Linked DNA regions of Mus musculus. The protein of the gene in region 6 interacts with the protein of the main gene of each other region in a biochemical or structural test. Links are inferred from orthologs where the notes say so. Each region holds a gene or a part of one and is shown on either strand. Other genes may lie near its edges. The genes, in order: Usp13, Mindy2, Otub1, Mindy3, Ccdc50, Ubc and Ubl7.

Region 1 (3,500 bases), on a different chromosome or scaffold from region 6:
TCACTTTTGGTCTTGACTGGGTTCCCAGAAAATTTGGTAGGTATCCTTTGCATGCTTTCGCTTAAACTATAGAGTGAGCCACCTAACCAGACATGGCATGTGAAAGAGGCTGTGGGAACGTCTGCCCCGTCCCTTCCACCCCATTGTTTCCTCTGTTACTCCCAGGTTTCTCTGGACCCAGAATCTAGGAGAAACACTACCATAAGAAACACCATATGCTAACCACACCCTCACCACTGAGCTCTGGGAGGATCAGGTTCTCAGAGGGGAAGTACACTCCTTGCGACAGCGCATCTCAGAAGTTACTGTGCACACAGGTCACCTGGGATCTTTGGAAAATGCAGATCCTGATTGGCAGGTGTAGGTGGGCTGAGCGACCATGTTTCTAACCTACCGCATGGTGTTGGCATTGACAGTCCAGACGCCACACTTGTAGTAGTAGGTAGCTGGAGGTATAACTTCCTCTTAGCACCCTTCCCTGCCTCTGAGATACAGCAGTACTATATGTATGTGATATTCATCTAAATCATACACATTTTCCTCCCAACCACTTGGAAACATTGGATTTGGACAGTTGATAGAAGGATGTGGTTTGGGCTTCACTGGCTGCCTTTTCATCAATACTCAAGGTCCTTGGTCAGTGTGGGAGGCCCATTTTCCAGATAAGGCATAAAGACCATTTCCTTAGCCACCAGGGTTGAATGTGAGCAGTCTTAAGTGACCTCCAGGCTTGTGCAAGGATTTGCATCTCACTCCGTGTAGCTTCTCTAGCAAGGACTTCAAACTGCCAGTCTCTTACAGACTTGTTTTTGGGCACTTACACAACAAAACGATGAAAGCCTTAAGAGTCATCCAAACACGGGTAGAAGGGGACCTGGAGACAGAAGGAAGAACAGCCAGCATGATTTCTGAGGAGGCCTGGTGCTGGTGGGCACAGAGTGCCAGTTTATCACCCTTTGTGCTGAGCTATTCCCAGTGCCCAGGAGACCCTTGATTTTCTTGCTGGGAGAGTTTAGGGAGCAGAGGGGGTCTGAGGGCAGGGTGCTGACCACTCTGTTCTCCACTGGCCTCTGAGAAGGTTGAGATACTTGAGAATTTTGACCCATTCAGGCTTTGGATTGCTGTGGACGGGGTTTTTGGTTTGTTTGTTTGCTTGCTTTTCCTTTTGAATTTTTGTGAAGGAACAAAAAGGAAGCCGGATTTTATTGACCAAGGTTTAAAGGAATCTCAAGGTAGGGCCTGGATTTTTCTCTTAAGGAACAGTTGTGTCCGTTTTGTGAATCTGACCTTGTGTTTAGTTTTACTGGTCCTTAAAATTTAACTCTTCTGTCTTAGCTTTTGTTCTTGGGTTATTGTTTCATTTATTTGTTTAGTTGTTTTTTTTTTTTTTTTTTTGAGACAGGATCTTATGTAGCCAAGGGTAGCCTTGAATTCACCTGTGCAGATGAGGGTAGCCTTGAACTTCTGATCTTCCTGCTTCCATTTCCCAAGTTCTATGTTTACAGGCATGTGCTACCATGCCCAACCTGCCTTGTTGTCTTAAATAGGATTTACATATTTGGCGTCATTTGGAGGCAGTTGGTCTCCAGGTCTGAAGGACAAAGCTAAGTTGTACTTAGACTCATTTCTATTCCTAGTTGCATAGGTTGCAGCACTGCCTTGCAGCAGCTGTTAGGCTTATAAATCTTGCATTTGAGCAAGTCGAATGTAGTGGCAACTGAGGCATGAGGGCTTTATTTTTCTCCCAGAGCAGCCACGGATGCTTAAGACACTTAAGGTTCAGCCAGGTTCTTTTGAGCTTTGTGATTTATAACTTAGCATCATCACAGTCACTGTCACCATTCGAGAAAAAGTATCAATTAGGATTTTCGAACTCAGATGTGCAAGGAAGGGGAAGCAGCACCCAGGAAAGGAGAGCTGCTGGGTAAAGGGTACACGAGCCACCCTCTCGGAGGGTTCCGCTGTGCCTTACGACATGGGTTAGGAAGATGTGCTTTTCCATAAGCATGCTGTTCATGTTTGGGGCAGTTCAGAGCAGTGGCATCAGTGTGAAATGGTCACAGCAGCCACCATTGTCCAGAACGGAAGCTGAGGGGAAGCTCAGACAGTTAACACAGGAGAATGTGCTATAGCTTTGTGGTATTTGAAATCCAGAAGTCTGCATTTTAACATTAAATCTGTCCATATCTCAAGAACACCAAATGGAATGAGTCTGGGCCACAGATAGCCTGGGCTGCCGGTCTGTGATCTCTGGCTCACCTGACCTGTTGCTGTCCAGTCTGGCACCTCTGTCCCACCACTCTCTGCCCTTCCCCTGAGCCCTCCAATAACCTCCCATGTGGCTTGACAAGTCTGCTGTGCTGAGTGTCCCGTAGGCTGGCTACATACATGCATGCAGTGAGCACAAGCAGATTTATAATGATCTGACCGAGGGCGCGGGAGAGTCCAGTGAATATGATCTTTTGTTTTGCAGATGTTTCTATTGATATGCCAGACCTACTAGATATCAGCCATCTCAGAGCCAGGGGCTTGCAGCCAGGGGAAGAGGAGCTTCCTGACATCAGCCCCCCCATAGTCATTCCTGATGACTCAAAAGGTACCATCGCCTACTGCAGTGGTTCTCAACCTGTGGGTCGCGACCCTTGGTGGTGGGGGCGTTGAATGACCCTTTCACAGGGATCACATGTCATATATCCTGCACATCAGATATTTACATTGCAATTCATGGCAGTAGCAAAATTGCAGTTGTGGAGTAGCAACGAGAATAGTTTTGTCGTTGGGGGGGTCACCACAAGAGGGTCATAGCATCAAGAAGGTTGAGAACCACTGCCCAGTTGGAAGGACACTCTCTCCTCCACCAGCCTGGAACAGTCACTGTGTTTTGCCACCAATCTGCTTCCCGTGAGGTCATCCTAGACACATAGGAATGAAACCTGGCTGCCACTGTGAACTTGAGACACGTACACTCTGTGACGACGTCACTGATTTGGAGTCCTGTCGGCAGGTGGTTCCAGAGGGGGCTTGCAGACAGGCGATACTGAGCGTGAGAGAAGGCCAAGGTGGTTTTCCACACTGCTCCTATCAATAAAGCTCAGGCAGAACCCTTGATTTGCAGTTAGACAGTGCTCTTACAAATACATGCAAGGATCGTAATTATTTAGCTCACCGAGCTGTCAGAACTTCCTGTTTTATTTGCATCTAAGTGCCCAAAGCCTGCTGTTTCCCCTCATTATTGTAATGAACTGTGTTTTGCAGGTGGTGTGTGTGGGGTAACCAGGAGTGAGAGGGTCTGGGAATCTCTTATCTAAAACTGTTGGCCATGGTTAGCTCGCTCTCACTTTTGACTGTCCCTTCATTTCCAGACCGCTTGATGAACCAGTTGATAGACCGTAGGTATCTTTTAAAATGCTTTTTGTGTCTTACATCTGTTGCCAGTGTGCCATGTTTTAAAAACTTACATATATATGAGTGGCTTGCTGCATGTCTGTGCACTAGGTGAA
Region 2 (4,252 bases), on a different chromosome or scaffold from region 6:
CCCCAGCCCCCCCCCCAACCACCACATAATTTTTTACTTCCTTAGACTATGAGCCCTGTTCATGTCGCTCTACAATTACTCCTTATGTCTGCCTCTTTACCATATACTGAGCTACTGAAGGGCTGATGCACTCTACTGTCTTTGCATGTATAATGTCTTCCACAAAGCCAGAACCCAAACATGTGGTCACACAATTGGGATCTGCCTTTCAGAGTCAATTCAAGGCTCATATATCCTCAAAGTAATCCAGGCCATGGTGACTGCTCCGCCTACTGTGAATGTGGGTGGCACCATTCCATGGGCTGCAGGCTTGGACTAAATAAAAAGGAGGAATCAAACTGAGCAGTCGTCTCTCTGCTCCCTGACTATGAATGCAATGTGACCAGTGGTCTCAAGTGCCAGCTTCCATGGCTTCCCCGACTAATGGTCTGTACCCTCAAACTGTGAGCGAAAATAAACCCTACCTTAAGTTGCTTTTGTCAGGTATTTTGTTACAGCACTGAGAAAAGTAACTATGCCAGAAAACTGGTACTCAGGAATGGAGCCTTTGCAATGATAAACCTGACAATGTAACTCTTAGACATCTTGAACTGGTTTGTGGGAAGAATGTGGAAAAGTTTGGAACTCTCTGCTAGAAAAGCCCTCGAATGCTTTAAGCAGAGGTTAATCAAAATAATCTTCCAACTCATTAGCATGCATGCTTACTTCTTAACAGACTAATCCAGATGACTGGAACCCAGATGATTCCATCAGGAGCCCCGGATACCCAACTTAGTGCTGCAAGATTTGGTGTTGGAATCTCTCCCTCACTATCCATCATAGTTCTTCATAACTGGTTAGCATAATTCAAACTATTCTTCTTCTAGGGAGCATTTTAACTATAAGTGGAATCATCAATTTGAAAACAGGTGCTGAGATGCATCCTCTCAAAACCCAGATACTGCAAGCTTAAATATGACACTATATTCTGAGGCCTCAATACACTTGCCCTTCCCTTCCTGTTCTCCAAGACCTTAGATTTATCATTCCTTATTTTAGTTGTTAATAGTTTTAGCTTCCTTAACAAACATTCTAATGTACAGTTACTAGTAAAAATGCCAAACCTTTGAAGTAGAGTCAAAGAAACAAGGAAAGTAAAAACAAAAACAAAAAATCATACACAAGATGAAAATACTGTCTTTGGAAACAAGTAATTTATGGTAAGTAGGCTCAGACCAATGCTTTTCCTTAAATGGAATTTGTCTAAAAAGTTGTATCTTTCCCATCACTGTTCTTTCATGCATCCACACCACAGTGGGACAAACAGCCTTTTCCAGAAAACACGCAGATAAAATCATTAAAACTTACTCCATAATATAAGATTGATAGTAACTGAAGATCAATCACTGTTTCCAATTTTCACTGTTTTGCATATGTAATAATGTCAGTAAGGAATAATATAGGCAAATATAGCTAAAAATACTCAGAAGATGTAAGTGCAGGGTGCTCTGGATTCTGCTTGTTTATAGGTAAACCATCAGTTACAACCTTTAACCGAATGTTGAATTTTTAATACAAAAAAGACCTTAAGTTGGGGGCAATTCTTCCTGACATGTTGCCACATGAATAATCTTTCAATAAAGAAATCCTGGAATTAATTTCATGTAATAAGAGACTGTTAGATATAGGGGTGCATGTCTGTAAACCTAGCACTCTAGAGGCTGTAGCATTAAGATCTTAAACTGTTCGAGGACAGTTTAAGCTACACAGACAAACCTTGTCTCAAAAAAAAAAAAAAAAAAAAAGGAGGAGTCTGATGAATGGAAGGAAGCCATCAGCTGACAAACAGCAGTTTCCTCACCCCATTTTGCCCCTCCCCACCCCACAAGCTGTAGGAAGTAGAAAGCTGCAGAGTGTACCTTCCAGGCGAGAAGCAAAACATTGAGGATGGCCAGCAAAGGGCAGGGTCCATTCTCATTCTGGGTGATGATGGGCGTGTTCTCCTCTTTCCACTGGATCCATTTGATGTGATACACCGACTGTCCGGGAAAGCGTTCTTTGGAGGCCGCTAGCACCTGAGCCGGGTCCTCCTCCTCCTCTTTGCATAGAGGTGCAGCCCTGGGCGGCCCCGCCGCGCCCTCCTCCACGTCCTCGGGGACCCTGGTCTCTGCTCCCTCCTCACTATTGAACTCAGAGCTACTGGGGAAAGAATGCAGGTTGGAGAAAGACTCCAGGGAGTCCAAGCTGGGCGAGTCCCCAGGGGGGCTCGGCTCGCTGCAGCTGCTGCTCGGGGCGCCGGTGCTGCTGGGCTCTTCCGCCGCCTGCTCCACCCTGCAGGTGCCCGTGTCGCCCACTGGCCCCGACCCTCGGCCCGCCGCGGCCTCGGCCAGCTCCGGGGAGGCGGTCACCTTGTGCTGCCCTCTTGAAGGCACCTCCGAGGCGGCAGGGCTCGACGACGCGCCGTCCTTCAAGTCCGAGCCCGCGCCGCATCCGAGCTGCGAGGGGGACGTCGGGTCCCCGAGGCTGCTCCGCGCTGCCGCCGCCGCCGCCCCCTGCCCGCCGCTGTCCACCGCGCGTCCAGCGGGACCATCCTCAGCCTCGCGCCCGCCGCGCCGTCGCCCTTCCGGCGGCGACACTCGCCCGGCCGCCACCCCTAGTTCCAGAGGCTGTGGGCTGTCAGGGCTGTTCTCCATCCCCGGCCGCCCGCCCCTGGTCCTATAGACACCGCGGCCGGCTCTCCTCAGCAAGCGCCTCCGACGCCATGACAGCCGCTCTGTAGCAGCTCCAGCGCCCTAGCGCGGCCTCGGCCAGGCACGTCACCGTAGAGGGCGGCGGGAGCGCGCGCGCGTGCCCCCGCCCGCCCGCTCGGAGCGTGCCTCCGCGTGACTGCGCTCGTTGAAGCGCCCGGACCCACTCGGGGAGCGCTTCTCCCCCGAGGCCACGCCCCTCCCGCGCGTTCAGGCTAGGGAAGGCAGAGCGAGGCCAGGGGCGTGGCTGAGGGCGTGGTCAGGGGCGCGGCTCGGAGAGCCGCAGCGCCACTAGGAAAATAATCTTGTGTGTGCTGCCGGAAGTTGAACTCCGGGGCATCCCCGCTGCGCGCGGTTACTTTAAAGGCAGTGGCTGAGGCTTGTAGGGAGTGTGGTCTACTTTGGGCTTGAGCCTGGTGGACCCCGAAAGTGGTAGTAGCATTGGAAGACAGCCATTCCCTGAAGGCCTCGGGAGAGCTGGCTTTTTCTTTTCTTTTTTTTTTTTTTTAGCTTTTAATGTTGAGAATTGGAAGCATTTCTTAGGAAATGCAAATTTGAAAGGCGAGTTCTGTTGGAGGCTTTTGGAAGACTGCGCAGTACAGGGACAACTCTCCCTGGGTTTTGGCTGAGAATCGCTGCGCTCCCAACCAGCTACTGGTTTGCCTTGCCGGAGGTTCAATGAGGTTGTGGATATTGGCCTACGCCCCAGGCGAGAGGGTAAATTTGGTCCAATAATAATAAATCAGTTTGCGTTTGAAGCAAGCCAAGTCTTTGCGGTTCTGTTCACTTGGCTTCTCTTTGCACAGAGTGGGAAGCTTCTGCTTCCCGAAAAAATGACTTTTAAAATTAGAATTGACTTCTCATCAGGGCTTGACATCTGCATAGAGGATGGACAGAGTTGCCTGCAACTTTTTTTTTCTATTTATTTACTTACTTATTTATTGGCAAGAGTGGATATAGATCATCTAACCTGCTCTGGAAAAGTGGGGTGTTTTTTTTTTTTTTTTTTTGGTTTTTTTGTTTTTTGGTTTTTTGTTTTTTTTGTTTTTTTTTTTTTTCCTGGACCCTTCCCTCTTCAAAGTTGTCTGAGAATATAAAAATGAACAAGACAGGTGGGTCTTCCTTTAGTATCAGGTATACAAATATATGGTGCATCATGGATTGTTACACTTCTGTCCTGCTACTGGTTAGAAAAGTAGACAAATTAATGCATTATTTTGCTCATTCATGTGTTAGCACCAAGCATGTTACTGAATACTGTGTTTCACACTAAAAATATCACTATTATCTTCTCAGAAATGATGATCTCTTTCTCGGCACTCTCTTCGACTTCTCCCTCTTTCTTCCCACCTCCAACTCTCTCCTCCCTTCCTTTCTTTTCTTCCCCCCCCTTTCCTTTTTTTTTTTTTTTTTTTTTTTTTTTTTTTTTTTTTAGGGCTGGGGCTCAATTCATGTATGACAAACACTCTACAGAGCCCTCTACTACTTTGCTTATCTTATTTCACTTTTGTTTTTTGAGACAGAGT
Region 3 (4,106 bases), on a different chromosome or scaffold from region 6:
CACCATTTCTTAACTCTTCAGGCTGCCTACTAAATACTGTTTCATCCCAGGGTCACAGTTCAAGCTCCGCTGCTCCCAGCTTTTGGGCTTACTGGGAAAGAAGCTTGCCTCAGTTTGAGTGATGCAGCAGAGACACACAGAAGAAGCCTGTTCTCCGCAAAGATCAAAGTAGACAGACTACAGGACAGGTCTCTGTGACCAATCTACCCATCCCAACACCAGCAAGTTTGGCCCCTGGCAGGCTACTGAGTTGTCAGTGCCCGCCCAGCCTGCACCTGGTCCCACCTGAGCATCACCTACCTCAACCTTACAGCCACCCTACAGGCAGATGCTTTCACTGTCCCTATTTTACAGATGAGGACACCCAGGGCTCAGAGACACTGAAGGACCTGTCAAGAAGACAGCTGCTGAGTGGTAATCTGATATGAATGAGGTCTCAGTCCAGAGGCCACACTTCAAGAACTAGCAATAGGAGGTGTGTCCCCGCCCAACACCCGACCCTCTCAGACATTAGGCCTGACAAGAAGCAGGGCTGAAACAGGCTCCCTCCTGCCCCTCTGGCCAGGATCCCACCTTGATCTTCTGTTGGTAGATGTTGTCATCCTCAGCATACTCCTTGTACAGGACTGAGAGTTCCAGCCGCTCTGACACCAGAGGATTCTGCACAGCAATCTGCAGGGAGGCAGGAGACTGAGGAAGCCACGCCTAACACCTACAAACGGGGTGGTGGCCATCCAGCAGCACAGCAACCCCACAAAAGCATAGAGTGCCTAAAGTAGACTCAGAGACTTGAGAGACTCGAGAGGGGAGGGCTTCAAAACAGACACTAGGTCTCAGGCCCTGACTATGCATCCCCACCACAAAGCCCTCAGCTACTCCCTCCCCAACTTTCTTCGGCACCTCACCTCTTGCTGAATTCGGTCCTGCTGAGCCATAATGGCTTCATCATAGGCCAAACAGTTAACACCTAGAAAAAGGAGAAAAAAGAAGTGCCAACCAAGGGTTCCTATGGGGTCTGGCTATCTCTATGGCAGGCAGCTTTGGCAGAACAGGTCTGGAATCTGGAACCCTATGCCTTACACCCCACTGTGTATTCTTAGCAAAGTTCTTCCTTCTTTGAGTTCTCATTTCCTCATCTTTTGGAGAAAGTAGCTAAGTGTGGTGTCATTTGGGAGGCTGAGGCAGGAAGACCACAAGTCTATATAGCTAATCTCTAAAAAAATAAAAGTAAACAAGGGAGCAATTACAGACCAGAGCAGGATTAAGAAGCCTAGGAGTTAGAGATCAGCTCTGGAAATATAGCAAGCCTTTATCTTGGAAGAAAAAAAAAATAGGGCTGGGCTTGAGACCCAGTGGTAAAGATATATTTGTCCTGCAGGTGTGAAGCCCTAGCAACCTCAAGAAATAAGTAAATATAAATATAAATAAATAAGTAAAATGACAAGTAAAGATCACCCCCAAAGCTCTCTTGCAGCCCCGATATTCCTTCCTCCCTGCCTTCTAAAAGCACTGTGTAGCATCTAGGGAATGCTCTGGGGAAGGGAGCTCTGGGAGAAAGCAGGATGAAGGGGTGGAGCCCTAGGAAGAATGAGTGCATCCTGTAAGCATGCACTTTACTGAGACACGCCCTTTGTCCTTCTGTGGTCCCCTGTATTGTTCATTTTCCAAATTAAAAAACAAAAAACAAAAACCAGAGGTAACTCCATCTTGTCCAAGGTCAAGTCCACATTTGTAAAATTCCAGTCTGAGCTCTTGGACATGTCACTTGCCAAAGTCCTCTCCCCTCACCTCTAGAATGGATTAATGCCATCACCTTGCTCCCATCATCAAAATATGCTGGGATCCTGCCAGCAGCAACTACTACCTAAGCACTCTCTAGAGTCATCCACGGATTCGGGACGTTCGTTCTGAGGACTCTAAGCAGCTATTGTAGGAGTTTCTAGTCTTGGATCCTTCTTAGATGTGATGGAGAACAATTTCTTTCTGCGTATCTGGGTTTCCTAGTCCTCAACCTCTAGAATATAGTGTGGAGTTAGAGTAGGGTGTGCGAGTATGACTGGCTTTTTAAAGCCAATCCTTTGGGGCCTGGTTATCCTAGGTTCTCAGCTGAGCTTCCCACCATGTCCTACAACAGGACTGTCCCTCCCACTCAACAGACTTACTCAACCCCTAGAGCTCAAGTTCTCGGGAGACAGGGAGAAGGTGTGACTGGTTTCTGTCTTTTTTTAAAGACCAAGAATCTAGGAAAACAATGCCTGGATCCGCTCAAAGGTGCTGTAAGGCCAGCACAAGCTCTAAGGCAAAGAGCCGCCAATGGCATCCCGAACGGCCCAGCAGGGACTTCGTCCTTGGAAGCCCGGCGTTCCTCAACGCCTTTCAGCAGCTCGGCCCCGGCCTAGGCCTCGGCTTGACTGCTAGGTCTCCGGCGGGCTGACTGTGGGAGCCGGCCGAGGCCACGGGACCGGCGGAGGCGGGGCGGCCCAGGCCCCGCCCCAGGCGTGCGCGAGAGGCCGAGCCCCGGCCCCGGCCGCCCCGCCCGGCCGGGGGTCGCCGCGGCCCTGCTTCCATTGTGAGGGGGAGGGGAGGAGACGCGGGGAAGGGCTCGGTCGCACGCTGCGCCTACTCCCCAGGGCCCTGACTCCCCGAGTTCCTCGGGAACGGCGGGCCGTGGATTGCCCCCGCTAGCCCGGGAAGGACATCCTTCCCTCCGTTCGTACCTTCGGAGTCGCTACCCAGTGGCTCCTGCTTCTGCTGCTGAGGTTCCTCCGCCGCCATCTTTAAACAGCGCCGCACTGGCGATCGCTTCCGGGTTATTAATTGCCCTCCTCCCGGAAGGGAGCCCCTCCTTGTGGCCCCTCCTTCGCAACGCCCCTAGCAACAGGCTCCCTTTGGCAGTCGTCAGGGCCTGGGCTGCTCCTGCTGCCCTGGAGAGCTTGGGGGGACGCCACGCGCGCTTCCACATTCCACTTTCCCAAAGGTCCTGCGGGGCTAAGGACCTCCTCGAGTCATTTCTGTTTTCTGTATACTGAAGTTTGAAACGCAGGTTGTGTAACTAAGATAAGGAACAAGATGGAATTAAAGTCACTAGAAGGTTAATCCCAGCTGCGCGTACTTTCAAGGTACAGGACGGTAGCTGCAGTGCGGAGCGCAGAGCCACCTCGAGACAGGAAGTGGTGACAACCTCCTGACGCCCTTCGGAGCCTTCGCGGCCTCTCGCCTCTCACCACTGAGCCTGTTCTCTAAAGCTGTAAAGACCTGTTTCCAGCACGGGGAGCATCTTCCCTTGATACCAAAACCAAAACCCTCGACCTAACTTTAGGCTATATGTCCTCGTATTTGAGAAAGCAGAGCCACTTAAAAGCAAGAATTTGAGTCCATAATCCGAACATGTGAAAGGTGGAGAAAGAATGGAGGATCCGGCGTTCAAGGTAATCGTGGAGTTTCAGGCAAGGCTTGGCTACAAGAGACCCTGTCTCAAACAGACCAGACCAAACCAAACAAAACCTGAGCCAAAAAGTGGCCATCTTTGCTAATTTTTGCCGAAGCTACCCATTTTCTTTGAGTTATGTCTCCATTCTGAGAAATGGACATTCCCATTTGCAGGCCCTGTGTACCCTGAAAAGCAAACACCAGAGCGTTTGCAGGAAAAGGCATTTACTTCTTGGTAGCCTGGCTATAGCCATCACTGAGCCACACAGATTCCTTTTACCCTCCAGAATATCAGTTCTCTGTCCTTACTAGTCCCAACTCCAGCTCCTGTATGGTCGGTCTACCAGTCCAGGTAACTGGAGGCCAGGGTGGAAAGCACTCTTAAAGATTTAGAAAAATCAGGCCGGGCTGTGGTGACCCATGTCTTTAATCCCAGCACTTGGGAGGCAGAGGCAGGAGGATTTCTGAGTTCGAGGCCAGCCTGGTCTACAGAGTGAGCTCCAGGACAGCCAGGGCTACACAGAGAAACCCTGTCTTGAAAAACCAAAAAAATTTTAGAAAAATCAAGTACAGACTAGGCATGGTAATTCCAGCACTAGGGAGGCATGTGGATCTCTGAGTAGAGGTCAGCCTGGTCTACACAGTGAGTTTCAGACTCACAGACTACATAGAGAAAC
Region 4 (3,500 bases), on a different chromosome or scaffold from region 6:
ATTCTCAGTTAATAAAATGTTTTAACTATATATGAAGTTAAAAACATATTTCAAGTATGGTTTTATGTCATGTGTATTTTTAAAATGAGGCACTAAGTAAACTAGAAAATCCTACATCACTTTGTTTTGGAGGAGGGCTCAATCTATCATGCCCACATAGCTAACAGTGTGCTATGACGCCCTTCCTCCTAGAGCTTGCCAACGTGTTAGCACAGAAATGCACCACCACTCCAGAGTAAGCATATGGTATGCATGTGCTAAGGTAATGCTAAATATAACACGAATGTAAAATGCTAAATGAGTGTAAACACTTTGAATGGTTTAAGTGTCCCTTTCTCAATATGTAGTATCTCAAAAGGAGTTAATAGCATGCTTACAAGCCACACAGTACAATTTACAAACATTTAAAAATGAGTCTAAATGATGCTTTATTATCATTCTTTTGAATAGCTTCCATTTGTCTTTAAATGTCATTATCAATTCCAAAATGAATTCTTTTCGAAAGGCAATATTTTAAAGGTCTGAAAAGAAACACTACACAACTGTTTAAATTTTTAAAATTATTTCTGGCAAATGTGTTATTAAAATTTGCCAAGCACAAGCTGTTCTAATTGTAGAGGAAGGGGAAAAAATGGACAGTGAACACAGACATTTCAGCTCAGGGGAGGCAACACTGTCAGTAGACAGTTCTATATGGATAGTGATACATAACACACACAATCAATATTTACTTCCTAATGCCTAGTATCTGTCTTTTACAGAATCAATTTGATATAGAAGGTAGTGAGTATGTTCCAGTATATATGGAATAAAGTACACTTGGGAACTAATAATTCCCCAAAGTCACCTAACTAGCAAGATTAGTCCTCCAAAGCAAACCAAAGAGCAACTCCTTCTATTTTCCCTACCACCAGAAGTCGTTAATTTACTCGTTCATTTTGGCAGTGTTTAGGCCACTTTTAAGAATGTTCAAGTGTGTAATTTTTATGAATGAGAGTAGGTATTATTTGTATTATTTAAAATAAAGAAACTGCAGTCAAGATGTGGAGAACTTAAAACATAAGTAAAACGAAACTAAAACTACTTTAGTCCAAATATATAACAATGTTCAAAAGGATCAGGAACAAAATAACAGTGTTTAATTAAGAAAATATCTCCACTGTTGTTCTAAAACAGAGCTGAGGATATTTAAGCATTGATGGTGAGAAAGCTCCTCTCATCTAAAGAACACTGTGCACCTGAACTACTGCATGCAGATGTATTTCCCACAGACTTTTAAAATCAAAGTTGTAATACTAAAAGATTTCATCAAGCAGAAGTTAGCTACAATTATTTTTAAAATGCTTAAGAGACAGATGTAACTCCTTTTGTAAAAATGCACTGTCTTACACTAAATAAAATAATGGAAAAGAGATAGAAAATATTAACTTAGAGAAAGTGTTATCAAAACATAAAATATTTTTTCTTCAAAATTTTCAATAGATTTATTAAAACAAAAGAACAAGAAATTACTTCATGAAATAAAAACGTATCTTACAAGAATGTTCCACTTGGCAACTAGACTGTGCAGGACTCCCAGAAATCCTAGCCGCTTCCTCGGGGGTCCTTCCTCTCAACCATGAAACCAAGCAGTATGATCCAGAGCTGTCATAAGCACTCTCTACAATATCACACAAGGTGTGACAAAGGAGCTCCTTCTGCTCTTCCTCTAAAAATAACCAAAGTATGAGTTACAATGCTTTGTCTGGAAAAGAAAATCGAGTCATGAGAAACAGTAAGAAGGCCTCGGCTTAATAATGAAAATCAAGTGTTTTCTGAGAATAAGGAAAACCCATATGACCAGAAGACTGGAAATTACTCTTTAGAAGAACAATGTGCCTAAAGATTAAAATGTTATCACCTTAAATCCTGGCACCAGTTAGAAGAAGACTGAAAAGTGCAGAACTTAATTAACATCATGAGAAATCATCATCTCACCTTCAGCACTCAGCACTCAGCTCCCTCTACTGCAGAGTCCAAAGAAAGGAGCAACAGGGCCCCCGGGACCTGTTCTCCTCATCTGCTGAATTCCGCCTGACCAGCTTACAGGAATAACAGCAAGGCGACAAGACACCATCAGCACACAAACCACAGGCCATTACTGAGCAGAAGCAACCACCTCTATGCTGCATAAAGCAGGAGCCTTACACCACTCCACAGTATGCCGAGCACTGGTGCTCTTTTCAAAGGCACAAACAAGGCCATTTCCTCCAGAACCTGGGCAGCCCTCCGCCCTCTTTCAAGCAGTGCCCGCTTTCCAGTGCACTATCACACTCACACTTCCAAATGAAACTAGTGTAACACATCCTACATCACATGTTACAGTCAGCAATGGTTCCAGTCACTTGACATCACAGCCTTCATGACCTTATGAGAATGTTTTTCAAATTTGTCAAAGAGACTGTATTTTTGAGGAAGAAATGTTTTCAGCAATTAAAAGTCATGGTGATAATAGACTCTCAAAGTTTCTTTACTGAACTCGTGAATTAGATATTCATACTAAATATATGACCAGAATTCCGTTAACTCCTCAGTTCAGAATCTTGAGGAGATTCTATGGTCATGGGTTAGAAGGAAAGCTATTATGTTCTTACACACAAAGCTGGCACTGTAATCTCCTGCCTTCTTCTAGAAGTGACTGTGAGGCTCACAAGGAATTCTGCAACTGAGGAAGGTCTTTGTAAACTGCCAAGTGGAATGCAAATGTTTGTCATCAGGTGGCATCCCGTATCAGTATTACTCAAGCTGCAGAAACTCTGATAGTTTATTCTGCAAACTTTCAGTGTTCCCATTTAATAATGCATTATAATAAAAGATAAAAGAGTAAAACAAGAATGCTGAGCTCTTCATCACAACTCAATAAGGCAAAAAAAGAAAACAGGAGGGATGGGGTAGGAAGCCACCAGCAACACACAGGCATGGTGGTGCAGAAGGTAATCCTAGCAACAAGTAGTTAAACTAGAAGGATCGCAAGGCTGGGGCTAGCCTGGCCTACACAGTGCGTGCCAGGCTAGCCTTGTTATATAGTGAGTTCCTGTCACACAAACACCAGAGCAAAGAGGTTTTAATTATGGATATATAATCATCTAAAGGTTAAGAGAAACAGCCATTTAAGCAAGAGGCCTTATTACTATAATACTCTGTCTTCTGTCCCTTATTAAGAAAAATCTGAAAAAGAACATTTTAAAACAAAGTCTGTTTTATTAAACTTTTTGAAACATCTGAGAAATAATATTCCATCAATTGTTCCCCAGTGAAGACAGACTTTTAAGAAAATGAATTACTAGCAATAAGTGTGACTTAGATGAGGTGTAAAAGAGAAGCCGGAGGGAGGAGAGAGTTTGAAGGCAGCTAGCATACCTGAGCAATCCCGCCAGGACGACTTCTCGGAGGAGAACAGAAGCTTCTTCAAAAGAAACGCCTTTACACAATTAAAGCGACAGTTAGAATGCATGGTAGTC
Region 5 (4,300 bases), on a different chromosome or scaffold from region 6:
CCATATATGGCAGGACATTTATAAATACCCCTAAAGCCACTTTGCTATACCTTCCTTCTTCACACTTTGTTTATGGAGTGCTCTCTATCTCTGACAGGGCTGTGCAAAATTTTCTTGTAAGGGTTTGATAGTACTTTAGATTTTGGGCTTAAAAGGCAAAATTTAAATGACTCATATTAAAAATAATTTAAAATGTAATATTTAAACAAATACAGTCACGGGGTTTCAGCGGGCTGGGTTTGGCCTGTGGGTAGCAGCTTGCCAACTTCTGATCTAATTTTTGCTCTCATTTACATCTTAGTTTTTGCTAACCAATTTTAGTGTCAAGTTAAAAATCATACCACTTCCTCCTGACCTCTCACACTAGGAGTCTGAGCTGAGATGGGAAGCCAGTTTAAGCCAGTGGCTGAAGTGACACGTTGAACTTTGACAAGATGTTGGGCTGACATTCCAGAGTTCAATGATCCTGCCAACAAGCTTAACTCTGAGGAGGAACTGTGCTTTGCTACTGTGTTTCCATCAGAAACTGCCCTCTTCTCCGCCTTCTCCTATCTTTGCTTATCTTCAGTTTAGTTTCATTGTCTGCTAGTGAGAGTGGCCGCCCACTCAGGAAACAGATACTAATTTGCTACTCTACCCTTTATGTAGCAAGCCTAGGGAGGTATTCTGCTCCACCGGTTTTGATCTCACACCCATTCTTTGATAAATATGCATGGTTTGTGGACTAATGGACTGAAAGATAAGATTAGTGAAAACCCAGTTTAGGACTGGAATGTTTCCTTTAGGGGAAGAGACAGTTCCTAAAGGAGCATGAATCTGTACTGATCCATAGGATGAAACGCGAAAAGTCGCTCATTTCAGAGAAACACAAATGTCAGAATTATAGACCAGTGAGTGGCATGCTGGAAGGGGAAGCCCATACAAGTCTCTGTCACAATCCCTCCACCCCCGAAACTGAACATCCGATCTGGTAGACATTTATAGTTTTTTGTTGATTGAGTGACTCAGTTCTCCCTGCTGGTTGTGAATATTCCGTTTCCAGAAGGGCCCAGAATTTAATTCAGTGTCTTGTATTCTGGTTTCTTTAAAAACAAAAAAACAAAACAAAAAAAGAAATATAAAGCACACACACACACACACACACACACACACACACACACACACATGTATGTATGTATGTATGTATGTATGTATGTATGTATGTATGTTTGTAAGTATGTATGTATATGCCCACTAATCCCAGATATAAGGATTTGTGGTGCCTGGCACTCAATAAGCACTTTACACAAGTCTTAAATCTCAGAGTGGAGCGCAGATAGGCTCTGTCCCGGCGGCGCCTAGCTGGCAGGTGCAGCCTTGGGGTCCCGGCCTTCAGGCCGCAGAGCTGTGGCCTGGGCTGGGCGCGGCAGGCACATAGGCGAGGGGAGGCGGTCTGGCTCGCACGCCTCTGCGTGCGGTGCAGCCTTGCAGCCCCCGCCCCCCGCCGCCGCCGCCGCCGCCTTTCTGGCACCTCTCTCCCTCCGTACTGGACTCCGGTGCATTTCCGGCCCGGGAGAGTCCGGCGTCCACCCGGGCCAGCCCGCGGGGTGGGCGTGCGCCGTGATCTCCGCGCGCCCGAGGCCCAGCGGCCGCCATGGCCGACGTGAGTGTAGATCAGTCCAAGTTGCCGGGCGTGAAGGAAGGTAGGTCGGGACTCGCGGGCTCCGGGGAGCCGGGCTGCGCGGGGCACGCGGCGCGGGGCGGGCTAGGAGCGCCGCGGGCTGGCTCGGTCCGCCAGCGGCTGCGGGAGGCCCTCGCCTGGCCGCGCGGCCTTGTTCTGCCCTGTGGACGCTTGATGTAGAAATCCCAGCCCTTCCAGGCTGGCCCAGGCCAGGGGGTGGCGTTCCGAGTGGAGTGGAGCCTTTGTTTTGAAACATGACCCTCTCCCTCCTCTTCTCCTTCTGTTCCTCTCTTCTCCCTCCTTCTTTTCTTTTCTATCCTCTACCTCCCTCCTCCTTTCTTTCCCTCCTCTCTCCCTTCCTCCCTTCTCCCACTTCTTCTTCCTAGTCTAGTGTCTGGCTGGCTCTTAGCTTCAAAAATGTTGAAAATCTTAGGGTTGGCATTGCTTTGAATGGTGGACCTCAAGCCCCTATAAAGATGATCTCCCCACTTCCATTTTAATAAAGACCAGGCTGGAGTGGGTGGGAGCTTGTGATCCTGTTACCCCCGTTGCCCCCCATGGCTGCTATATTGAAGTCCAGGAAAATAAGATTGACTAGTACTGGCCAGGCCTAGCTTACTTCATCTCTCCTCCCCTCCCCGGGGCCTAGCATTTTTATTGTTTTGGTTACTGGCTCATCTTCTTGTCACTCTGTCTTTCCCTTCTTGGGAAGCACTGGACTTCCATTATGACAACACCTAGAACGTTCAAGAGTGCTCTCTCTTAAAGCCATAAGTTCTGAGGGGGGTGGGGGGGGGGTCTTTGTTGTGGATCTCTTTTGTTTCACCAGAGATCTGTGGCCAACACGGTCTGGGACTGGGATGTGTGTGTTGTGTAAGTGAAGGAGTTTTTCCTTTCTTGAGACTTTAGGCTTCATTGCCAATTTCAAGTGACTCAGATGGTCTCGCTCTGGCCAATTTGGAAATCCCAAGACAATTAGTGACTACTTGGCTGCATCTGTCCTAGGGTTTCAGAGAAGCACCGTGGCTAGGAGTCAATGATTTTATGTTTAAATTGTAGTAGGTTTGGATCTACTCCATTGTTTCTAAAGAGTAATAATGCCTTCAGGCTGAGCTTTTGGTCTTGGTATTTTTCCATCGTTTCTGTCCCTAACTTGACTTTGGTTATTACAGTTTTTAGTTAATGGAGTCTAAGGAGCCACTGGGAAGACATATCGGTTCTTCACCTGGAGGCCAGCTGTAGAGCTCCCCTCTTGCTTTTGGATATGGGTTTTGTGCGCAAAGGTGTTGGTTTTGTCTGAAGACAAAGTGCTCCCTTGGTAGTACTTTCATTGATGGTGGGTGTTGCTGATACTGGAGTTCAAACAAAACCTGACCTGAGGTGCAAAGCTTCAGTGTTGAGGTGCTGTGACTTCCCCAGCCTTCCACCTGTGCTAGTGACCTGGAAAGAACTTTTTTGTGTACGCTTTGAAACCCTGAGGTCTTTTCATTTTTTTTTTTTTTTTAACCGAGACATGCCTAACTTGTGCTAATATCTTATTTCTCAAGGAGTTCCCCACTTTCCATCTAGGCCTGCAAGAGTCTTTTTCACCCCCCAGCTCTACAAGTTTTCCTATGTTTACTTTGGTTTTCATTCTGGATATTGTGGTGCCGTGCTTGGCAATCCTGTCTAGGGACTCCGATGAGATGACAGGGACATTTAGTGTGGCTCTTCCATGTGTCTTTGTTAAATTTAGAATTTGTCACATGCTCACTTTGAAGGAGGTCAAAAGCTGTTGGGATCATCGTCCTTACCAGTGCCTGGCTCTGAGACCATCAAAGGCCATGATGGGTTTACTAGGAGAGTCCCCAGAGTGGCGAGAATTTGATCTGGGAAGTATTCAAGCCTAATAACTTGCATCTCTCTCATATAATTTTAAATTATGGCCCAGTTACCACCTAACAATCTTTCCTCTAATTAAAGAGAACCGGAAGATACCAGTGAAGAAGCAGAGCGTGTTCTGACACTGAGTAGTCCTGAAGCCCTCAGCTAAGTCCAAGCAACTTAGCAGCACTTTGTTTAAAGTTTTGGCTCAGATATTTGAGCCTCATTAAAAACGCAAACACTACTTCTTGTGTTTTCCACTTTTCTTCTGAATTTAAACTTTGGTAGATTTCTGCAGGTTACAGTTGACATCATGGGGTAGATTATAACAGAGACTGAGAAGAATGGGGCTGTGTGTCCTGTCTCACTGCCCTGTCTTTAAGAGAGGGAAGGCTGCTTTGATATTTGGTGTATCAAAAACAGATGGCAGGGAACAGGACTACTTCACAGTCTTCTTCCCTAGGTTAACATGAAATGCTTGCCTCTTTGGTTTGTATGGAGGGCAGAGCTTCATTGAGAAGACCCTTCAAACATACACAATTAAGAAGTGTATACTTTCGAAAATAACAAATTTGGAGACAACAAAACTGAGTTTATACAAGTGAAAAGAGTTTAAATGTCATTTAAATGCCATTTAAATGTCAGTACACCCCTATTTCCTAATCAAAATATGTTTGGAACCTCCATATATTTTTTGTAAAGGAAATAGTTATTTTCTCTATCAGTCTCCACACCCCCCCCCCCTTTTCATTTCACAATTCTCCAAGTCTTGTTTTG
Region 6 (4,081 bases):
GATCAGCCTCTGCTGGTCAGGGGGGATGCCCTCCTTGTCCTGGATCTTTGCCTTGACATTCTCAATGGTGTCACTGGGCTCGACCTCCAGGGTGATGGTTTTGCCTGTCAGGGTCTTCACAAAGATCTGCATCCCACCTCTGAGGCGAAGGACTAAGTGCAGGGTGGACTCTTTCTGGATGTTGTAGTCTGACAGGGTGCGGCCATCTTCCAGCTGCTTGCCTGCAAAGATCAGCCTCTGCTGGTCAGGGGGGATGCCCTCCTTGTCCTGGATCTTTGCCTTGACATTCTCAATGGTGTCACTGGGCTCGACCTCCAGGGTGATGGTCTTGCCTGTCAGGGTCTTCACAAAGATCTGCATGCCACCTCTGAGGCGAAGGACCAGGTGCAGGGTGGACTCTTTCTGGATGTTGTAGTCTGACAGGGTGCGGCCATCTTCCAGCTGCTTGCCTGCAAAGATCAGCCTCTGCTGGTCAGGGGGGATGCCCTCCTTGTCCTGGATCTTTGCCTTGACATTCTCTATGGTGTCACTGGGCTCGACCTCCAGGGTGATGGTCTTGCCTGTCAGGGTCTTCACAAAGATCTGCATCCCACCTCTGAGGCGAAGGACCAGGTGCAGGGTGGACTCTTTCTGGATGTTGTAGTCTGACAGGGTGCGGCCATCTTCCAGCTGCTTGCCTGCAAAGATCAGCCTCTGCTGGTCAGGGGGGATGCCCTCCTTGTCCTGGATCTTTGCCTTGACATTCTCTATGGTGTCACTGGGCTCGACCTCCAGGGTGATGGTCTTGCCTGTCAGGGTCTTCACAAAGATCTGCATGCCACCTCTGAGGCGAAGGACCAGGTGCAGGGTGGACTCTTTCTGGATGTTGTAGTCTGACAGGGTGCGGCCATCTTCCAGCTGCTTGCCTGCAAAGATCAGCCTCTGCTGGTCAGGGGGGATGCCCTCCTTGTCCTGGATCTTTGCCTTGACATTCTCAATGGTGTCACTGGGCTCGACCTCCAGGGTGATGGTCTTACCAGTTAAGGTTTTCACAAAGATCTGCATCGTCTGTCACAAAATATACAAAACAATTCACAGGTCAGGAATGACACAAATATTTGTGGGATGGCATCAACATTTGTCAACTGGATGCTATAAGTCTAAATAGCAAGGTCTATCTACACAGATTCTGTCTTGAATCCAATCCCCCCACCCCGAAAAACCATCAAGAAAATAAGATTGTTGACTAACAAAGTTAAGAAACCTCGGCATGGTGAGTCTTTTTGTATTACCAAATTTACAGGATGGAGACTTCAGTATACCAACAGCTGAAAGTCAATTTCTGTCTATTTGAACAGTTTGCAGAAAAGCCTGACCTCTGGGAGGTTATGAAACCACAGCAGTCCCGGATTCAGTTTCAGAATGGTAATATAGCAAGTTACTACTGCAAAACTAAGTCTGAGCCCATGCCTATCGCTGACCTCAGCACTGGGGACACTGAGGTGGGCAGATCTCTAACTGGAAGGTCAGCCAGAGACAGTGTAATCCTGCCTCAACTCTCCTTCCCCCAAAAGAACACCAAACTTTTGTCTGAACGATTAAAATTAGTCTGGAGTGGTGGTACTGGCCTTGGACCTCATCACATGGGGTGGTAGAGGCAGAGATTTTGACAGTTTAAAAAAAAACACCCTTGTCGCAGGACAATGGTGGTGCCTTTCGTCCCAACACTTGGGAGGCAGAGGCAGGAGGATTTCTGGGTTCGAGGCCAGCCTGATCTACAGAGTGAGATGCGGGACAGCCAGGACTACATAGAGAAACCGTCTCGAACCCCCCCCCCAAAAGTTTCAGTAGTCATAGTTGTACAGCGACATTCTTAAAACGAAACAGGACAAGAATGGCTCACATTTCCCCTCTGAATTTCCGGTTCCTGTTTACTCTGGAGAGGCTACCGGAGGCCGAGACCCAAACCCTGTCCTACAACCGAGGGAAAGCTAAAGTCAAGATAGTGACGTCACTATCCATTAGGAGGCCACGCAACCCGCGACGTCACAGGGGGCGGCAGGCCAGGCAGGCTGAACCGCCGCCCAACCCCCTTCCGGTCTCGATCGCACTTCCGTCTTTCAGCAAACGAACGGACGAACGCCGGGCCAATCGACCTCTCGGGCCAGCCCAATATCCACGGCTCTCACAGCAGAGGCTCCTACGGCGCGCAACCCTAATTCAGTCCCCACCCCACAGTCTCCGACGTCCCCGGCTTAACCGGAGGGCAGCGGCCTCGCGGGCCTTTTTCCTCCCCCAACCTCGTCCTGCGCGTCAGAGCCCCGCGTCTTCCCCCTCAGGCTTCCATCTGGCCGCCATCTTGCCGCCCAGTCCTCTGCCTCGGGGCAGCCGCGGTCCGCGCGGGCCACGGAAACCAAACGTCTGGGCCGCGGGGCTGCCTCTCGCCCCGTCTCGCCTCCAGCCTCCCGTCCCCGACCGGGTGCGGCGGCTTTCTCCTCACCAGCGGTGGTGGCGGCAGTCCTCACACAGCAGACGGAACTCGCAGTCTCCACGGAACTAGCTGCGGCACGCCCGGCGTCTCTTTATATAGTCACCGAAGCCCCGCCCCCCCCCTTCCGCGCGGTCCCTCCGCGGGCAATGCGGTCAGGGACTACTTTGTAACGCCGGGTCCAGTCTCGGCAGCGAAAGCGACAGGCTAAAACTATCAAGGTACCTCTCTCACGGAGTTGTTTCACGGTGGCGTCCAGAGATTGAGGGGCTTTGTGTGGGAGGGCAGGGCTGTGACCTCGGGCGACTCCGCGGAGGGATCAGCGCGCGTGAGACGATCGGCACGAAAACACGGCTGGGATCACTGAGGCCGGAGCGGGCCTTGGCGCAGGCGCCCTGCGGCTTCGCGGCCTGGCGCCCCTAGTCAGGCCACCACCCCCCACCCCCCCTGTTTTCTTTCCGCGCTAGGGGGACCCAGGGCTTTGGCTCCTGTCACACTGGGATCCCATTGGTGACCTCGCCTCCTCAATCCCCTCATCCCCGGCGGGTCACTATGCCCAGCCCTCACTGTTTTGGCACAGTGACAGGGTGGATGACTGTGCAAATCTCCTAACAAGGAAAATGACAAAGGGTTTTTAATAAATTTAAAAAAAAAAAATACGAAGGAGGGAATCTCTCCCCGATTTGGAAAAACGAATCTGAGTTTGTCAAGGAAAGCAGACAGTCTACACAGTTCTTGAAAACTGTTGGCATTAGATCTGAAGCCCAGCAGAACCTGATCTTTCCAGATTTTTCCTAAACCTTGTGTCCTTGGATTCGAGAAGGTTCTATGTTTTCTATGTGCTTGTCACTAAGTAAAGGTCAAAATTTCCAAATGTTGTTCATATTTGTTGTTCATATTCTGAGACTGAACCCACTGAAGCCCTGATTTTTAAATTTTTGTTGTTCAGATGGGGGTTTCTCTGTGTAGCCCTGCCTGTCCTGGAATATGCTATGTAGACCAGGCTGGTCTCAAGTTTATATAGGTCCTCCTGCCTCTGCCTCCCAAGTATGGTCTACAGATCAAGTTCCAGAATGGCCAGGGCTACACTTGACTTGAAAAACCAAAAACCAAACAAAAAACCCCCACAAAAACAAAAAAGCACAAATGTGCACGTGTAGTACAATGTTCAGATTACAGCAAGCATATATCCCACTTATACGAATCAAATTATTCAGGGTTTTTTTTGTTTTGTTTTGTTTTGTTTTTTTTTTTTTGGTTTTTTGAGACAGGGTTTCTCTGTGTAGCCCTGACTGTCCTGGAACTCACTTTGTAGACCAGGCTGGCCCCGAACTCAGAAATCCACCTGCCTCTGCCTCCAAAGTGCTGGGATTAAAGGCCTGCGCCACCACTGCCCAGCTCAGGTTTTTGAAATGTAAGGCCTAAGACCTTAGAAGGTAAGAATTGAATCCCTGATGGGGAGAGATGGCTCCCCAGTAGGAACAGGTCTTTTTCCAGAGTACATGAATTCAATACCCAGCAACCCTGTCAGGCAGCTAGCTTGTGACTCCAGCTTCAGGAGGGTCCAATGTCCCTAGGGACACTTTCACATACATGTGGCACACACTTAGATGG
Region 7 (4,009 bases), on a different chromosome or scaffold from region 6:
ACTCAGAAATCTGCCTGACTCTGCCTCCTGAGTGCTGGGCTTAAAGGCGTGCGCCACCACGCCCGGCAAGAATACAACTTTTACACTTGTGTACACAGTAGCTATTATGAACTTTTTTTAAAAAAAAGATTTATTTATGTATTTTATACACTGTCACTGTCTTCAGACACACCAGAAGAGGGCACCGGATCCCATTATAGATGGCTGTGAGTCACCACTTGGTTGCTGGAAATTGAACTCAGGACCTCTGGAAGAGCACTCAGTGCTCTTAACTGCTGAGCCTTCTCTCCAGCCTGAACTTTATCTTTTAAAATTACATTTTTTTATTAGTGTGTGTGTGTGGTCAGTTTTGGGGAGTCAGTTCAATCCTTTCACCATTTGTTCCCGGGGAGGTCCTCAGGTTTGAATGCAAGTGCTTTTACCTGCTGAGCCATCTCACCCGTCCCTCAGCTTCACAGTTTTAAAGTTGGTTGTTTTTGGTTATTGTTTTCCTTAATTGTGGAACTTTCTGAGAAAAATCACTTCTCTCTTGAGTTTAGCTAACTCTAACTTTTGTGTAAACTCAATCCAATTTGATTGTGCATTAGTTTCTCAGCCATCTAAAACAGGCAGTGTCTCCACGAAAGTTCAGTGGAAATTCCCCTCCCCAAACTGATTCTACGAATGACTGTGTTATAAACCCCATTGTTGCATGTTCGCGGTGGGCCAGAAACCCGACTTAATCACTCCCCTTACGGACTCAACTTTTAGCGCCCTGGTGCGCTGCCACAAGGCAGGTTTCCTGGGAGAAAGGAGCAAGAAGCACAAGAGGCTGGCTACGTGGGAGAACTGCGTCTTCATCGGAAGGGCCGCGGGGCGCCTGTCCACTTAGGAACCCGTCCCCCTCGGAGAAGGCTCGCCCTCCGGCCTAGGACTCCTCCAAACCCGGGACAACCAACAGGCTTCACATATATCCCTGGAGAGCGCGGGAATCATCGGGCTATTGGCTGCTTTCGAAAATTCCACACTGAGTCTCCCTACCTCAGGTGGTGGTACAATTGTGTCTGACAGAAAGCTACAACCTACTGGCTTCTAGGACCTCAAACTGCTCGTGCTCGCACTCACGCCTCCTAGGACCCGGAAGCATTGCCACTAGCTGCTGGACGGCCATTTATAAGGGGCTGGGTCTCAGTGAAAACTATAGTCCCCAGAATGCAGCGCGGAGCTTCCGGTTTCCGGCAAGAGGACCAGAGTGAGTGTTTACACCGGCGGCTCGCTGCGGCCGGGTTCCTTCCGCGGGACGGGTGAGGGCGCTGGGCCCCCTCCCTGGGCGCGCGGGGCTCTCGTGGGTCCGGAGTAGCTAACTGGTCCCACGAGAGAGGTGGGGTTGTCAACATTGTCCCTACTCACGACTAGGTATCTGTGACCTTGGGCCAAGAGACTTCAGCTTTCTGAGTCTTTATTCCTGATCTGTAAAATAAGGACAATGATGCCAGTTTCAGGAGACAGTTGTGAGGATTGAAATCGGTATACAAAAACCTCCTTTCTCGCTTTAAACCTAAAGGTGGATAGTACCTTGAAGTCCGCTGGGTCGCACCACAGTTTTTTCTTAGCCTTGTCTTTACTGCAAGAGACCTCTTTGGCAGAAATAGTGTCTGTAACAAGGACTGGTCTTGCGGTACAAGGCTCTTGCACCCTTTGAATTTTTAGATTTATTTTGTGGGCATTCATATATGTCAGGCTGGGGACTGTGTTAGAAAAGCTCTAGTCTTGGCTTTCAAGAATGGGGGGGGTTTCACAAATATGAGGGACGCAATGAGAAGTTGAGAAGTAAATAAGTTGTACAAGGGAAAAAGCAGCAAAGAGAAGGTAGCTTTCTAAGTCTGGCATCTGGTAATGAAGCTGGCTGACTTGTCCTCAAATCTATTGATTTGTGTTGCTCTTTTGCCTTGAGGGAACAGGGAATGTGTGACCAAGAAGAGAGCATGGAACCGATGTGTTTGTGTGGGTCTTGGTAGGAGTTTGCTAAGAGGCCAAAAAGGGAAGAGAACTTATATGCAAAGACAGGAGGTGAGCAGAGTTACATATAGGGGACAACTTTGTTATGAAGTATACTTACGTGTGTTGTTATAAAGGGGCAGGGCTGGGTCTATTGAAGAAAGCTGGTAGGCGTCAGAATAAATGGGTTTGTAATCTGGCTGTGGAGTTAACACCCACCTGTTCATAGAAGTGCTTTGGGATTAATGGGGGCCTTCTAAGCAGTTAAGTTTGTTAGATCTGTGTTTTAACAATAAGACATTGGGTGGTGCTATAGATCTCTGATAAGGGCAGGCAAGAGAGACAAGGGCCCTCCTTAAAGTGTTGTTATAGCTAAATCAAAAGCTGGAGAAGAAAACCAGAAATGAGTGTGTAGAAGGGAGAGGGTTGGGTGATCTTGCTTGAACCTCACAACATTCCTATCCAACTGATTGGCCTTTTGTGTTTACTTTTTTTTTTTTTTTCTTTTGTTTTTTTGAGACAGGGTTTCTCTGTGTAGCCCTGGCTGTCCTGGAACTCACTTTGTAGATCAGGCTGGCCTTGAACTCAGAAATCCTCCTGCCTCTGCCTCCCAAGTGCTGGGATTAAAGGCGTGTGCCACCAATGCCCGGCTTTTGTGTTTACTTTAAAGGTGAAGAAACTGAGGCATAAGAGAAATCCCTTGTAGTCCACCAGAGAAAGAATTAAGGGAGGGACACTAGGTTCTAGTTCTAGCCTCTTAGTGCTACACCTATGTTTCTCTAGCAGTAGTACACTGAAATGATCTTTCCTTTATTCTTGTTGCAGGGAGAGATGAGTAGGGAGGTGGGTTGACTTTTAACCGTTAATGCCTTATTGTTTTACAGGGAGAAAGAGAGAGCGCGAAAGAGAGAGGATGTCTCTCTCAGACTGGCATCTGGCAGTGAAGCTGGCTGACCAGCCACTTGCTCCAAAATCTATTCTTCAGTTGCCAGAGACAGAACTGGGAGAATATTCCCTAGGGGGCTATAGCATTTCATTTCTGAAGCAGCTTATTGCTGGCAAGCTCCAGGAATCTGTTCCAGACCCGGAGCTGATCGGTGAGTCTTCATTGGCAGGAGCTGGGTTGCTGCTCTTGCCCCTGGGACAGGAGGTAAAAGGGCTTGTTGCCTCCTTCCAGAGTAAGTTTTACATGAGTGAAAACATAAAACATGACAAAACTGTTGTTTGTCACTTTAGTCTCATGTTACACTGAACTACGTTATTATTTAAGACTCTTCATTATGATGTTGTTGAAGTCTTTTGTCTGATCGAACAAAATTAGCAAAGACTTGCAGATGAGACAAGACTCCTCAATCTGTCACCTAAGACTTAAGGGATAATTAGAAGGATGTTTTTGTTTGTCTTGATGGCTGAATAAAGGGAAGGCCGCAAAATAGGAAATGAGGTTGGCAATGTACTCCTAGTGGAGGAAGGAAGAGCTTTCGTAGAGAACAGTCAGATTAGATTAGGAGCGAAATGTACGCTAGCCAAGGGTTCTCCCTGGTGAAGACATTCCTATCACAGGTGATCAGCTCCATCCTCTTTTTTCGGTTTTTCGAGACAGGGTTTCTCTGTGCAGTCCTGGCTGTCCTGGAACTCACTCTGTCCAGGCTGGCCTCGAACTCAGAAATCCGCCTGCCTCTACATCCCAAGTGCCACCACTGCCCGGCAGCTCCATCCTTTTTGATGTTATATTTTTCACATTTATGTGGAATCACTACTCTCTACAGGGTTGAGCTTTAGAGGTGTACTGTGCATATACTTCTTAAATAAGCATTTGTACTTGATAAAGTTGTTTAAAATGTTGGGGTTTTGTTTGTTTCAAGACAGGGTCTCACTTTGTAGCCCTGGCTGGCCCAAACTCACCACTTATCTCTGCTTATTGAGTGCTGGGATAAAAAGTGTGTGCCAGCACACCTAGTCAAAATGTCTTTTATTTATTTATTTATTTATTTATTTGGTTTATTTATTTATTTATTGTTTTTTTCGAGAC

What was found.
Region 1: the proteins of Ubc (region 6) and Usp13 form a complex in vitro, tested with the Homo sapiens proteins (9 studies listed by BioGRID, with this or other methods). The link is inferred for Mus musculus from reciprocal best matches to the Homo sapiens genes UBC and USP13.
Region 2: the proteins of Ubc (region 6) and Mindy2 form a complex in vitro, tested with the Homo sapiens proteins (5 studies listed by BioGRID, with this or other methods). The link is inferred for Mus musculus from reciprocal best matches to the Homo sapiens genes UBC and MINDY2.
Region 3: of the proteins of Ubc (region 6) and Otub1, one has a biochemical effect on the other in vitro, tested with the Homo sapiens proteins (29 studies listed by BioGRID, with this or other methods). The link is inferred for Mus musculus from reciprocal best matches to the Homo sapiens genes UBC and OTUB1.
Region 4: the proteins of Ubc (region 6) and Mindy3 form a complex in vitro, tested with the Homo sapiens proteins (2 studies listed by BioGRID). The link is inferred for Mus musculus from reciprocal best matches to the Homo sapiens genes UBC and MINDY3.
Region 5: the proteins of Ubc (region 6) and Ccdc50 form a complex in vitro, tested with the Homo sapiens proteins (5 studies listed by BioGRID). The link is inferred for Mus musculus from reciprocal best matches to the Homo sapiens genes UBC and CCDC50.
Region 7: the proteins of Ubc (region 6) and Ubl7 form a complex in vitro, tested with the Homo sapiens proteins (6 studies listed by BioGRID, with this or other methods). The link is inferred for Mus musculus from reciprocal best matches to the Homo sapiens genes UBC and UBL7.

What each region holds. Positions count from the first base shown.
Region 1 is NC_000069.6:32,911,626-32,915,125, forward strand, and holds part of Usp13 (ubiquitin carboxyl-terminal hydrolase 13), read left to right. Parts: coding exon 1-36; intron 37-2,473; coding exon 2,474-2,596; exon of another isoform or gene 2,597-2,846; intron 2,847-3,255; exon of another isoform or gene 3,256-3,362; coding exon 3,363-3,389; intron 3,390-3,500. UniProt on the Homo sapiens protein: Deubiquitinase that mediates deubiquitination of target proteins such as BECN1, MITF, SKP2 and USP10 and is involved in various processes such as autophagy, endoplasmic reticulum-associated degradation (ERAD), cell cycle progression or DNA damage response.
Region 2 is NC_000075.6:70,654,375-70,658,626, forward strand, and holds the start of Mindy2 (ubiquitin carboxyl-terminal hydrolase MINDY-2), read right to left. Parts: upstream 2,801-4,252; 5' UTR 2,673-2,800; coding exon 1,899-2,672; intron 1-1,898. UniProt on the Homo sapiens protein: Hydrolase that can remove 'Lys-48'-linked conjugated ubiquitin from proteins. Binds to polyubiquitin chains of different linkage types, including 'Lys-6', 'Lys-11', 'Lys-29', 'Lys-33', 'Lys-48' and 'Lys-63'.
Region 3 is NC_000085.6:7,203,485-7,207,590, forward strand, and holds the start of Otub1 (ubiquitin thioesterase OTUB1), read right to left. Parts: upstream 2,801-4,106; 5' UTR 2,776-2,800; coding exon 2,718-2,775; intron 968-2,717; coding exon 906-967; intron 673-905; coding exon 574-672; intron 1-573. UniProt on the Homo sapiens protein: Hydrolase that can specifically remove 'Lys-48'-linked conjugated ubiquitin from proteins and plays an important regulatory role at the level of protein turnover by preventing degradation.
Region 4 is NC_000068.7:12,402,461-12,405,960, forward strand, and holds part of Mindy3 (ubiquitin carboxyl-terminal hydrolase MINDY-3), read right to left. Parts: intron 3,461-3,500; coding exon 3,400-3,460; intron 1,709-3,399; coding exon 1,538-1,708; intron 1-1,537. UniProt on the Homo sapiens protein: Hydrolase that can remove 'Lys-48'-linked conjugated ubiquitin from proteins.
Region 5 is NC_000082.6:27,387,456-27,391,755, forward strand, and holds the start of Ccdc50 (coiled-coil domain-containing protein 50), read left to right. Parts: upstream 1-1,500; 5' UTR 1,501-1,633; coding exon 1,634-1,682; intron 1,683-2,451; exon of another isoform or gene 2,452-2,520; coding exon of another isoform or gene 2,521-2,533; intron 2,534-4,300.
Region 6 is NC_000071.6:125,387,218-125,391,298, forward strand, and holds the start of Ubc (polyubiquitin-C), read right to left. Parts: upstream 2,801-4,081; 5' UTR 2,693-2,800; intron 1,048-2,692; 5' UTR 1,045-1,047; coding exon 1-1,044.
Region 7 is NC_000075.6:57,909,777-57,913,785, forward strand, and holds the start of Ubl7 (ubiquitin-like protein 7), read left to right. Parts: upstream 1-1,209; 5' UTR 1,210-1,283; exon of another isoform or gene 1,284-1,506; intron 1,507-1,933; exon of another isoform or gene 1,934-2,049; intron 2,050-2,861; 5' UTR 2,862-2,890; coding exon 2,891-3,074; intron 3,075-4,009.